Linked DNA regions of Arabidopsis thaliana. The protein of the gene in region 2 purifies or fractionates together with the protein of the main gene of each other region. This does not show direct contact. Each region holds a gene or a part of one and is shown on either strand. Other genes may lie near its edges.

Evidence for each region.
Region 1: the proteins of AT3G02710 (region 2) and AT5G10010 fractionate together in Arabidopsis thaliana (co-fractionation; one large-scale study listed by BioGRID). This does not show direct contact.
Region 3: the proteins of AT3G02710 (region 2) and AL4 fractionate together in Arabidopsis thaliana (co-fractionation; one large-scale study listed by BioGRID). This does not show direct contact.

The regions. Positions count from the first base shown.
Region 1 is NC_003076.8:3,125,739-3,129,491, reverse strand, and holds the start of AT5G10010 (myosin-H heavy protein), read right to left. Parts: upstream 1,665-3,753; 5' UTR 1,395-1,664; coding exon 954-1,394; intron 513-953; coding exon 474-512; intron 384-473; coding exon 330-383; intron 240-329; coding exon 176-239; intron 1-175. Other genes in the region: FD4 (ferredoxin 4), read right to left, coding at 2,337-2,783; AT5G09995 (uncharacterized protein), read left to right, coding at 3,190-3,504, 3,605-3,655, 3,750-3,753. UniProt on the Arabidopsis thaliana protein: Essential protein required for basal thermotolerance, especially during heat-induced chromocentre decondensation, thus regulating transcriptional gene silencing (TGS).
Region 2 is NC_003074.8:581,326-585,078, forward strand, and holds the start of AT3G02710 (ARM repeat superfamily protein), read left to right. Parts: upstream 1-1,787; 5' UTR 1,788-1,858; coding exon 1,859-2,935; intron 2,936-3,113; coding exon 3,114-3,198; intron 3,199-3,300; coding exon 3,301-3,397; intron 3,398-3,546; coding exon 3,547-3,610; intron 3,611-3,700; coding exon 3,701-3,753. Other genes in the region: AT3G02690 (nodulin MtN21 /EamA-like transporter family protein), read left to right, coding at 21-123; AT3G02700 (NC domain-containing protein-like protein), read right to left, coding at 402-1,066, 1,395-1,488.
Region 3 is NC_003076.8:9,158,318-9,162,070, forward strand, and holds AL4 (alfin-like 4), read right to left. Parts: upstream 2,177-3,753; 5' UTR 1,905-2,176; coding exon 1,808-1,904; intron 1,716-1,807; coding exon 1,683-1,715; intron 1,120-1,682; coding exon 891-1,119; intron 740-890; coding exon 607-739; intron 525-606; coding exon 249-524; 3' UTR 1-248. UniProt on the Arabidopsis thaliana protein: Histone-binding component that specifically recognizes H3 tails trimethylated on 'Lys-4' (H3K4me3), which mark transcription start sites of virtually all active genes.

The DNA.
Region 1 (3,753 bases), on a different chromosome or scaffold from region 2:
AACTTAGACAAGAACAAGAAGCAAATGTTCAAGAAAAGGAAGAGAGCATAGATTTTTGAAGTAAATTAGAAAGAACCACAAGAGCCGAGGATTATTTAGACAAGTCAAACGATAAGAAGACAGTAAACTACCTATAATCAAAGCAAGATTAAAAAAAGCGAGAGAAGTAGCTTACGTTCTGTACAGCCAAAGACATAAACCTTCTTCCCATAGAGCTTTCCTCCTTCCTCCAATGCTTCCTGACATACAAATGAAGAAAATATCAGACTCTCGTCCACCCCGGAAAACATGTCAACTAAACAATAGAGAACGTAATCCAAACAACTTACTTCAAGATTTTGGAAATCCCAATTGAATTCATAAAGTGCATCTAATTGATCCCACTGCCATCACAATGTAACAAACATAAGCAAGGACTATCAATGGAAACAGTAGCTCTGATGTTGAAGCCAAATTCCACAAAAACAATATACCTCAGTTCCCACTGGAAATGCAACCTTCCACAAATCCTCCTGAAACACACAAAACAAGCGCACATGTTAATTTGCAACATACACAGAAGAAATAAGACCAGAAAAACAACCTCTTTTATTAGAACTTAAAAATACTGAAGTATTGAAGATATTTTTGATAATGAGATAACACCACACCACTCATTTGGAATGACATACTATATCTGACACAATAAGTATAATGGCGCACAATTGCTCTCATAGATAAAGCCACCAACAAAGTTATATCTTGTGTATCGTTCTTGCAACCAAGAACACTAAACAGATCCACATTATAAGTTAAGCTATAAGATGAACATACAGGTCCAAAAACGTATCTCATTGTTGTTTTCACAGAGAATTTCGAGTCATCAAATTAGCATAACTAACCCCATATTGCATAAGTGCTGAATCCTAATTATAATTACATAATATCTCAAGCTAAGGTTAACAAAAGCATACCAGACTACGCTTCTCCTCGAAGTAGACAGGCTCTTCCTTAACTTTGGCCGCTCTCGGTTTCTTAGCTTTCGGAACAGGTTTCTTCTCATCTTTAATCTCAGTATCCTTCTTCGTAGCCCTCTTTCGTTTACCACCACGACGAGCAACAGGTTTCTTCTCAACTTCTTCCTTTACTTCCTCAGCTTTGACCTCATCTTCCTGATTCTCCTCATCCTCCTCTAAGGAATCAGGTTTCGCATCCTCTTCTTCCTCTTGATCTCCCTTAGCCTCCTCTTCTTCCCCATTCTCCTTCACCTCGTCGACGACTTCTTCCTCATGCTGTTGACTCTCCTCCTGCGTCGTCTTCGTCGTCTCCTCTATCACCTCATCGTTCTGAGTCTCCGCAACAGCAGCTTTGCGACCTGCTTTCGAAACACCCTTTCTCTTCGCTCCTTTCTTCATTGCCACAGTACTCTACCAACGAATTGAGCAACCCTACTGGTTTCGCCGGCGAAGATAGAGAAAGAGAGAGAAAGCTAGGGATTGATGGCGGTGGATCCGGAATTTCGAATTTTTTTTCCGGAGGAGACACAAATTTGGGGGTTTTGTTTTTTATTTTATTTTATCTTTTCTTTTTGTCCAAATGTGTTCTACTTATTGCGTGATTTCAACGAGCGCTCTTCATGAAAAGGAAATAGGGTTTTTGATTTTTTCCCCCAAATTATTTAGGCGCCGTTTGCGAAAATATTATTGTAAGGCCCAAAATTCATATATAGCTTTTGGCTAATTAATTATTTTTTGAATAATATGATAATTTAATATTTTTCATCATGTTTAATATTTTCATCATGTTTACAGATAATTTGCAAGCTATTTAGGGAAATTTGTTATATTAGAAGAAGTTTTTTTTTTTTTTTTTGCTTTGATAACATTTGTTATATTGTGGACACAAACTTTTTTGAAGATATTAAATTTATAAAATTGAATTAAGTATATCAAATAATAATTTGAAATTACATTTAATCTTTATAGTCTAAGAAATTCATACGGACAATATCCGTCCAGATGCGAAAAAGACAACTCAACAACAACAACTAAACCCATGGTGACGAAATAAAGCCCAACGTTATTTCCCATATCTTACGAATCCTTAATGGGCCTATATAGTATATTTGATACCAATTACAGACCCATGATGGGGATAAAAGCCTCAACTACTGAACAAAGATGATCGAAGCACATATACATTACTAGTCTGATTTTGTAAGTGGAATCCGATTTAAATATTTTGAATCAACGTATGTAAAATGATATCAATACATAAAAATACATCAAAACACATCAAATACTGAAATACATATTTTAATACTGAGATTTCAAAAGTTCAAGGCAGGCATGTGTAACTCATATAAGATCGGATTGTTTGTGAGTGTAAACAACACAATCTTCTAGTGGAAGTGCGATACACGTGAGGATGTAACCTTTTTGAATCTGCTCTTCCTCAAGAAAGGACCCTAGTGACTGATCCACTTTCCCTGACACCAACTTTCCACAACATGTCCCACAAGTCCCTGACCTACACGAGTATGGCAGTTCAAGTCCCGCGTTCTCCGCAGACTCAAGTATGCAACAATCTTCGTTTCCTTCTATCTCTTGCTCCTCACCTTCCGGACTAATCAGTTTCACTTTACGAGACTCTTTTGCAAACACCTTCCCAAAATTGCCTCTCGACGATGACAAGCCAAAATAAGTCGTGTTATTGAGCCTGGTCGTAAGTTGAGCTTGTGATGGTGATATTCGTGATATTACAGGGATTTTTATGATGTAAGAGGAGTAGAGTACTTGATCCATCAATTATGCTTTGGCTTTTGATGAAACTATAATGTAAGAAAAACGAATCAAACCAAATGTATATATGTAGTTATAGCTCAAACATCAGCCCAAACCCTTAAAATCATTCATGTGACACGTGCATAGGGAGGTGCTACGTGTAGTTTATAGGCTTGTAGCTCACAAACCTCCAAACCAATGTGGTGGTGTTCCGATTTTGCATATGACGCAAAGAAGGTCAAATTAACTCAAATGATAGTAATGGGGTTATTTTCAATAGTTAACGCATAAACAGAGGACTTTTCGTGAAATATTGTTGTTTCTAAACTTGACGCAAATTTTCTCGCTGACACAACTGAAATCCATTGTTATCGTCGACTCGAAGCTTAACAATGGTTTCTGACGAATAGAGCTAAAACCATTCACAATGTTATTCTCGCCTTCGAAATTGCAATCACCCCAATCTCTAATCTCTTGGAATCCGATTCTCCATAACGGATTCATCGATAAAAATCTCTCCTTTCGCCGACGGGTCACTCTCCGGCTAGCTTCACCGATTTCACGATTGACCAAGGGTTCAGACTCAATCGCATCTTCTACTCCCTCTGCATTGTACTCGAATCCTCAGGAGCCATCGATCTCTTCCCAATTAACATCGTCCGTGGGACAGCCTCCTCTCCAACTCTCTCAATGGACATTCACACAGAAGCACTTCGTCTTGCTCAATGTCGTCGCTTGCGTGGTAAGCCTCTCTTGGATTTAGGTTTTGATTCAAATTGCTCAATAAAGATCTGGACTTTATGTCACTTTGTAAACAATCATCATCATGGGTTCTGTTGCAGACAGCAATTTCAGCATCGTGGCTCTTCTTTGCTGCGATTCCTACTCTTCTGGTTCGTTCTCCAACATTTTGCTTTTACAGATTTCTTCAACCCTTTGATGGATTTTGAAGGTTGATTTGAGTTTTACTTTGGAATGTTGAGAAAGGCTT
Region 2 (3,753 bases):
GATATTATTGGTTTGACCAGGTATCTGTACCTCAATGAGACTTTCTCCTCATTGCAACTGGTCGGAGCAGCAGTGACTTTGGTCGCTATATACTTGGTGAACTTTCCCGAAGGCAACGACTGAGACACTCTTTGAGTTCTTACTTACACTCTTTGAGTTCTTACGTCATTTTTAAACTTGTTATGAAGGTGGAAATGTATCATAGTTTCATTATCTTCAATCTTATTGTATATAATAAAATGAAGCATCATAGTTCAGTGTTAATCAAAAGCCAAGTTTCGTAATTACATAAACAAATGTTGCACAACACGATACAGCAGAAGCAGATTCTCTTACTTCCGCCACAACATTTACAATCAGAGATCAACCAGTATGGTAATACAGGTGTGAGCAGTTTTGGATTAAGTAGTCTTCTCATCTTCTGGTTTAGCTTCCATGTCCGACATACAAGCCACATCAGCAACTAGTCTCTCAACAGGCACCTTGCTCACATCCCATCGCATGCCTATATCTGAAACTAAGCGACTGGTGCAGTACATGCCATAGCCAGCCACAGCCAAACCACCAAAACCTGCTACAAACCTGAGTGGTGAAGAAAGAAGAACACTGGCAGCTGCAACAATTGAAGCAGCTTGACCACTCCTTCCCACGTCGGTGTTTGCCACTAGCAAACCCGTTTTGCAATAGATGGCAAAATCTTCACAGTTGTTCTTGAAGACATTGTACACACCAAAACCATTTTGCAAGAGAAAATTTGCTCGATAGATGACTTCTTCTGGAGGATCTGAAGATGCTATAGTGCATACGCCGCCTCGAGGTTTGGCAAGAAAGATAGCAGGGGAAACACTGTACTCAAAGACATAGAGATCACCTCCGGCAAGGAAACATTCAAGGCAGGAAGATATAACACCGCCAAGATTGGATCGATCTCCACAATCAGGACATGGGTTGTCTCCATGATTATGAGATGAACTAACAATGATGTTGTCCAAGAAAGTCCCAGTTCCAGTCTCTTGACCATCACCACGAGTAAAATGGTTGACTTGTCCATTACCTACATAGATTCCTGCAAATCACACACACATACAAGTTAACGTGATAGATTACATAACAAAGAAAAGATAAATTCAAGGATTACAATCTAGCCTAGTAACAGAGAATAGCTGTTAAAATCACATTTTCCTAAACCTTCTACTAATTTGGATCCAAACGAAAGAATCACATTATTTCCCCCAAATTTGAAATTTTCGCAAAATCTAACCAGTTGCACAAATAATCAAATTGAGACAGCTAAAATTGGAAATTGAATCATCTCGTATCATCATGAATGTACAATGTATGTATCTCTCTGTAAAAAGGGAATTACAAAGAGAGAGATAAGAGTGAGATCGAACCGTGATGAGCGTAAATGTAGGCTTGACGCCATGAATAGATGTGATCGCCTGGTTTCACATCGTCTCTGGAGATTTTATTGGAAAGGAATCCCATCTTCTCCGCCGACGAACGGAGAACCAGAAATTAGGGATTGCGTCGTCAGAGAGAGAAAGATCTTATTTTTTGCTTAGTGTGTAGGGTTTTCCATCTTCCTTGGATAACATCATAACTTTTTTAAAGTTCCATAAAGACATTGATCTTTTGACTTTTGAGTTTTTGACCCCAGAAAAAATATAGTTTATTAGAAATTTAAATTCTAATTGCTTAAATCTTAAACGACACCGTTACACCATTGGGCCTCAAATGACATTGACTCTTCATTTAATAAAAAGCCCAAATTAAAATTCAGACTCGTCAGTCGTCACCATTATTTCATCCCTTAAACCAAAAATCTTAGTTTCAGACGGAAAGAGAGAGTATAGCCATGGAAGTCTCAAATCAGACCAGAAAACGGAAAGCAATCGACGCCGGACATGGCTCGCAGCCGACGGCGTATCGAGGCTCAGATGGTGTAGATCTTTCTCTCCTTGAAGCACTTGAGAAGTCTTCGCATAATGGAGTAGAAGCGCTTGATCTTAAAACCCTAAAAAAGCTTGTCCTCTCCTTCGAGCGGCGTCTTAGAGACAACATAGCTGCTCGTCTCAAGTATGTGGAGAATCCAGAAAAGTTCGCTGACTCAGAGGTTGACCTACACGACGATCTTCAGAAGCTCAAGGTGCTCGCTGGAGCTCCGGAACTTTACCCGGACCTTGTTGCTTCCAATACGGTTCCTTCGATTGTCAATCTCCTCTCTCATGAAAACTCCGATATCGCCAACGATGTTGTTCAGCTTCTTCAGGATCTGACTGACGAAGATGCCTTAGAGGATAACGATGAGCCTGCGCGTGTGTTAGTCGACGCCTTGGTTGAAAACAATGTGCTCGAGCTCTTGGTTCAGAATATGAATCGTTTGTCTGAGGCTGACCCTGACGAAGCTACGGCTATATACGCAACTTTGACGGTGATTGAGAATTTGGTGGAAGTAAAGCCGGCTGTTGCTCAATTGGTGTGTGAAAGGACGAAGCTATTGCGGTGGCTTCTGACGAAGATTAAGGTGAGGGAATTCGAAGGAATCAAGCAGTACGCGTCTGAGATTCTTGCAATTCTGCTGCAAAACAGTACGGCGAATCAGAAACGGCTAGGTCAGATGAATGGTGTAGACGCTGTGCTTGAAGGTGTGGCGATGTATAAGTCAAAGGATCCTAAAACTCCTGATGAGGAAGAGATGTTAGAGAATCTGTTTGATTGTTTGTGTTGCCTCTTGATGCCATTGGAGAACAAGGAGAGGTTTGTGAATGCGGAAGGTGTAGAGCTGATGATTATTATCATGAAACAGAAGAAATATGCTTACGGGTCTGCTATTCGAGCTCTAGACTTCGCCATGACCAATTATCCACCAGCATGTGAGAGGTTTGTGGATGTTATGGGACTGAAAACAGCATTTGCTGCTTTCATGGGTAAGGCAAGTTTTTCAATCCCGTTTCTTTTTACCATCTTTATGAACTGTCTAGTGACTTATTGGGTATTGAAGTCTGTATCTTTTGTTAGTAAATGCTTGCGTAGTAGATCAAAGTCATGTGAAAGAGGCGATTCTGAGGCATTCTTGTCTATTGATTTTGTTTAGTTCTTTGAATGTTTAGATTCCGCTAAACAAGAGAATCAAAAGGGAGCGGTATAAGGAGGAGCTAGAGGAGCGGGTTATTTCCCTGATTGCGTCATTATTTGGTAAGAAGGCAAGTCATATGTTTCAGTAAAAGTGACGTGTTTTCTTTGCATGTTCTTGATGTTAATTTCTTGGTTTTCTTGTTTGTTGGCTGTATCTTTCAGCTGGGATATTAAGGGGTTCTAGGAGAGATCGATTGTTGAGTAAATTCGTGGAGAATGAATTTGAGAAGATTGACCGGCTCATGGAATTATATTTGAGGTAATAGAAATGTTCTCTTTCTCTTCAGTAGTCTACCATTTTAAGCATTTTGATTAAAAAGCTAAGGCTTCTATATGGTGAACGCGATGGTAAAATGCAGTTACCTCAAAGTTGTGTTTCCTCTCTCATTATTGTTTTGCACTTGGCAGATACTCTGATAGGGTTAGATCAGAGGCGGAAAGGTTAGACCAGCTTGAGCTTGATGACCTTGAGGTAATTTCACTTTTATCATTTTCATATTTTGATGTTTTCATTCTGAGCTTGAATCTGTTTATGAACTGATTTCACTGTTTTACTTTTCAGTTGGATGAAGATGAGAAATATAATCGGAAGCTAGAATCAGGTCTCTACAGTCT
Region 3 (3,753 bases), on a different chromosome or scaffold from region 2:
TGTTAAGACTAACCAAAATACTTTTGATTGAGTTTGAAGAATGTTAATAAACAAACATAAAACAGAGCAAAAGATCATTACCCCTAAACAAAGAGTTATCCCTTCAATCGCCAAAATGTAACAATGAAAAAACTAAAATGTCTTCCTAAATTACCAAATCCATATGACAAATCTGATCTAAACCAAACAGTTAAGCTGTTCATCATCATATGCAAAGGTAGATACACAGAAGCGAGCGGTCAACAAATTTAGGAACGAGCCCTTTTGTTGCTGCAAGAAGGGCACTTGTATTGCTTGATGTGCTCAGCTCTTGCTGGTGTTATCTTAACACACTTTCCATGAAACCACATCTCACAGAGGTCACAGCAAATCCAGAACTCATCAGCTGCATAGCTCTCACCACATGCTCCACACTGTGTTTCACCTTGCTCATCCTCATCCTCCTCTTCCACACCTTCCTCTTCCTCCTCCTCATCATCTTTCGGCTCCGGCTTTGAGAACTTGGCACGGGATTCAGATCCTCGCTGTAACGTGAGACAAAGAAACCAGAATTAGTACAAGGATTAAACTGTAGAGAAGAAGTACAGTGGAAAACAAAGTCTCTACCTTGGAGCTTGATTTGGATCTGTTGCTGCTGTTGTTGGAAACAGAGGACTTATCTTTTCCTTGTTTCTTAGCAGTGCCAGCTACAACCTCAAAGATTGTTGGGAGGTCATTCACCATATTGAAAAGCCTCTTCCTGTAACAAATGTGAAAGAACATAAATCACAGAGAGCTACATAAACGGTGAAGGAGTAGAACAATGAGTGACTGAGAGGCTTGCATCTATATACCACCAAGGAACATAGATGTAAGAAGATTAGACTTAAAGAGGAGAAGGATATACATACCTATCAGCTTTGTCAAATCCAAACCTGGCTCCAAAAAAGAAAGCAACAGCAAGAAGCCAAGCATCACTGTGGACAGCAACAAGGGACAACCAATCCTTTTCCGCCATCCCGTCTCTGGCAAAATTGATACCCAAGACAGGCTCTGGGAGCTCAGGAGGAACCTCTTCAGCTGGCAAATTCACTTCCCAGTGCTCATTTGGATGTCCGTAAAGGCAAAGGTTCTCCTTTTCTATAATCACAAAAGGAAAATGATGACAATTGTTCAAAAAACCTTAAATTAAAACCAAGTCAAACAAAAAATCAACACTTTGACTCCGCTCAAACTCTACACTGCAATTCAAATAAATCTGACAAAATCACAATTTTATCCACAAAACAGAGACAATAGAATCTATGAACCCTAAATGCTTCACTGAAACAACAACAATCAGATTGAAACAAACCACAACGAAGCAAATTCAAAAAACCAAACTTTCGCCGGCGAGAATCAATCTCGAAGGAACAACAACACTCACAAGGATCACAAACAAATTTTTTCTTTAGTTGAAAACACAATCGAACCAAGTCAAACAAAAATCAATACTTTCGACACTGGAGCGCAATTCAAATAAATCTAAACAAAATCATAAACAGAAAAGAGAGAGAGAGAGAGACTATGAACCCTAAATGCTTCACTGAAACAACAACACTCAGATTAAAACAGAGCAAAACATAGAAAAATTCAAAAAACACAAATAAAAATCAAAACTTTCGTTAATTCAAATCAAATCTCAAAGGAACAACAACACTCACCGGGATCACAAAGTCGGAAAAACTCCTGAACATCTGCACACACAAAAGGGTAATCTCAAAATTCAGTTTTTTTCCGGTGACAAAACTGAGATAGTAATAAGAAGAAAGAAAAAACAAATTGTTACCAGTGGTTAAAGCCTTAATCATGCCAGCTCTACGACCCTTAAAATCCCTAAACACCTCTTCAACAGTGCGTGGATTGTACGCGCCACCTGCTTCCATCTTTCTTACAGAACAAACAGCTTCGAAGGAGACAAGACAAGAGTGAAAGAGAGAGAGAGAGAGAGACAAGTATTTGACCGGCGCTGAGAGAATTTGGGTTTGCGAGAGAAAGAAAGATGTGAAAGAGAAAAAGGGCGGACCCAAAAACAATTAAGCGGATTTAATAAGATGAGGAGGAGTCCGCAAAATGAATCTGATGAGGAGGAGAGCACGATAAGTTTTATCTTTCATCCTCTTAGATCTTGACGCGTATCTCCTGATTTCTGTTGTTGTATCTATGGATATGTTTTTAATTGGATTGGCTTATTTTTCGGGTAATAGATGTTTATCAAGCTTGAAATTAAGAGTTTTGTGTTAATGATACATTAAATTGTAATGGTTGTAAGATTGCAGAAAGTTTTATTAGATACTCTGTTTTTTCGAAACAAATGTTCGGTAATCTGGTATCTGCGAAATAAATTTGACCGTTTTTCTGTTTTTCGCGGTAAATGTTCGGTAATCTGGTAACTCAGAAATAAATTTGACCGTTTTCTATATTTTCATTCGCGCTCTTTTTGAACATGGTAAGGGATACATACTTTATTTTAGATTAGTGAGAGGTTTCGGTAAGTGTTTATCAAATATTCAGTTTTTCGCTTTAAATTTCGGTAATCTGATATTTAAGAAATAAGTTTGACTTTGTTCTACATTTTTTGGTTTCGTTTTGTCTTTCGCGCCAATTTTTGGTATTCTGGTATCTGAGAAATAAGTTTGACTGTTAATTTTATTTCTTCACTCGAGGTCTAGTCTTTTTTTTAAAAGAGTAATAATAGTCTGGTTTTGATTAATGAGAGCTTTTAAATAGTCTTACTAGTTACTAGATACCTTTTTCGCACCAAATTTTTGGTGATCTGGTGTTTGATAAATAAGTTCAATCTCTTCTCTTTTTCAAGGTCTTTTTGATTTTTTAATAAGTACTATGCATTATTAATATTTTGGAAAAAAGTTTATTCAAAATACTTGGTTCTTTCGTGTCAATCATCCAAATATATCGATAACCCATATACAATTTGATAGATCGAACTATACACTAGGAATAAAATTGTAGTTTCATGGATTTCATGAATTTATGAATCATATCTAATTCCAATATAGTAAGATTTTGAAGTAGTGTTATCTATAAAATCATGATTCAGTCCTCAATTTTGATATTTTATGTGGATAGAAAATCTTAACTTGTAGGTAATTTGGTGAGAGTGAGACTGATAAAAGAGAATAAGAACTATGTTTTACTGAACAAAGTACTTAAAGCAATGAATATATTTTTGTTTTCTAAATTGAATTGAAGAGACACGGAGAGAGTAGTAATGTTGATAGATTCAAATGTCAAACACCTCCTCTAGAATCCTTAATCTTTGTATGAGGTACACTTCAAGATCTTCAAGAATTCTTTTGATTTTTTTTCTAAATCAAATGCAACGTTAAATTTGACTCTAGAAAATGGGCTTGAAGTCTCCAAGCTAAACTCATTACATGTCACACAGACACGCAAGATAGTGATCTGATGGCTTTATTTGCCCAAACTGGATACAAAATCCCAATACCATCAATAAGTTCTGTAATAATGCAAGCAAGACGATAAGCGCATTGAACTATATTGCATTCAAAGATTGTGATATGCATCAGATGTCATTGAATATTTCTCAATTTGATCTTTTGATAAAGATCCCATGAAATCATTGACGGTTGCATAAAAATTCTTAATGTTTTCGCTAGTTATTATTACATTCACAATTAACAAAATTCAAAATTTATATAAATCGGCTCATCTTCCACTTTTCCAATTACTCATATGTATATGATTTTTCCA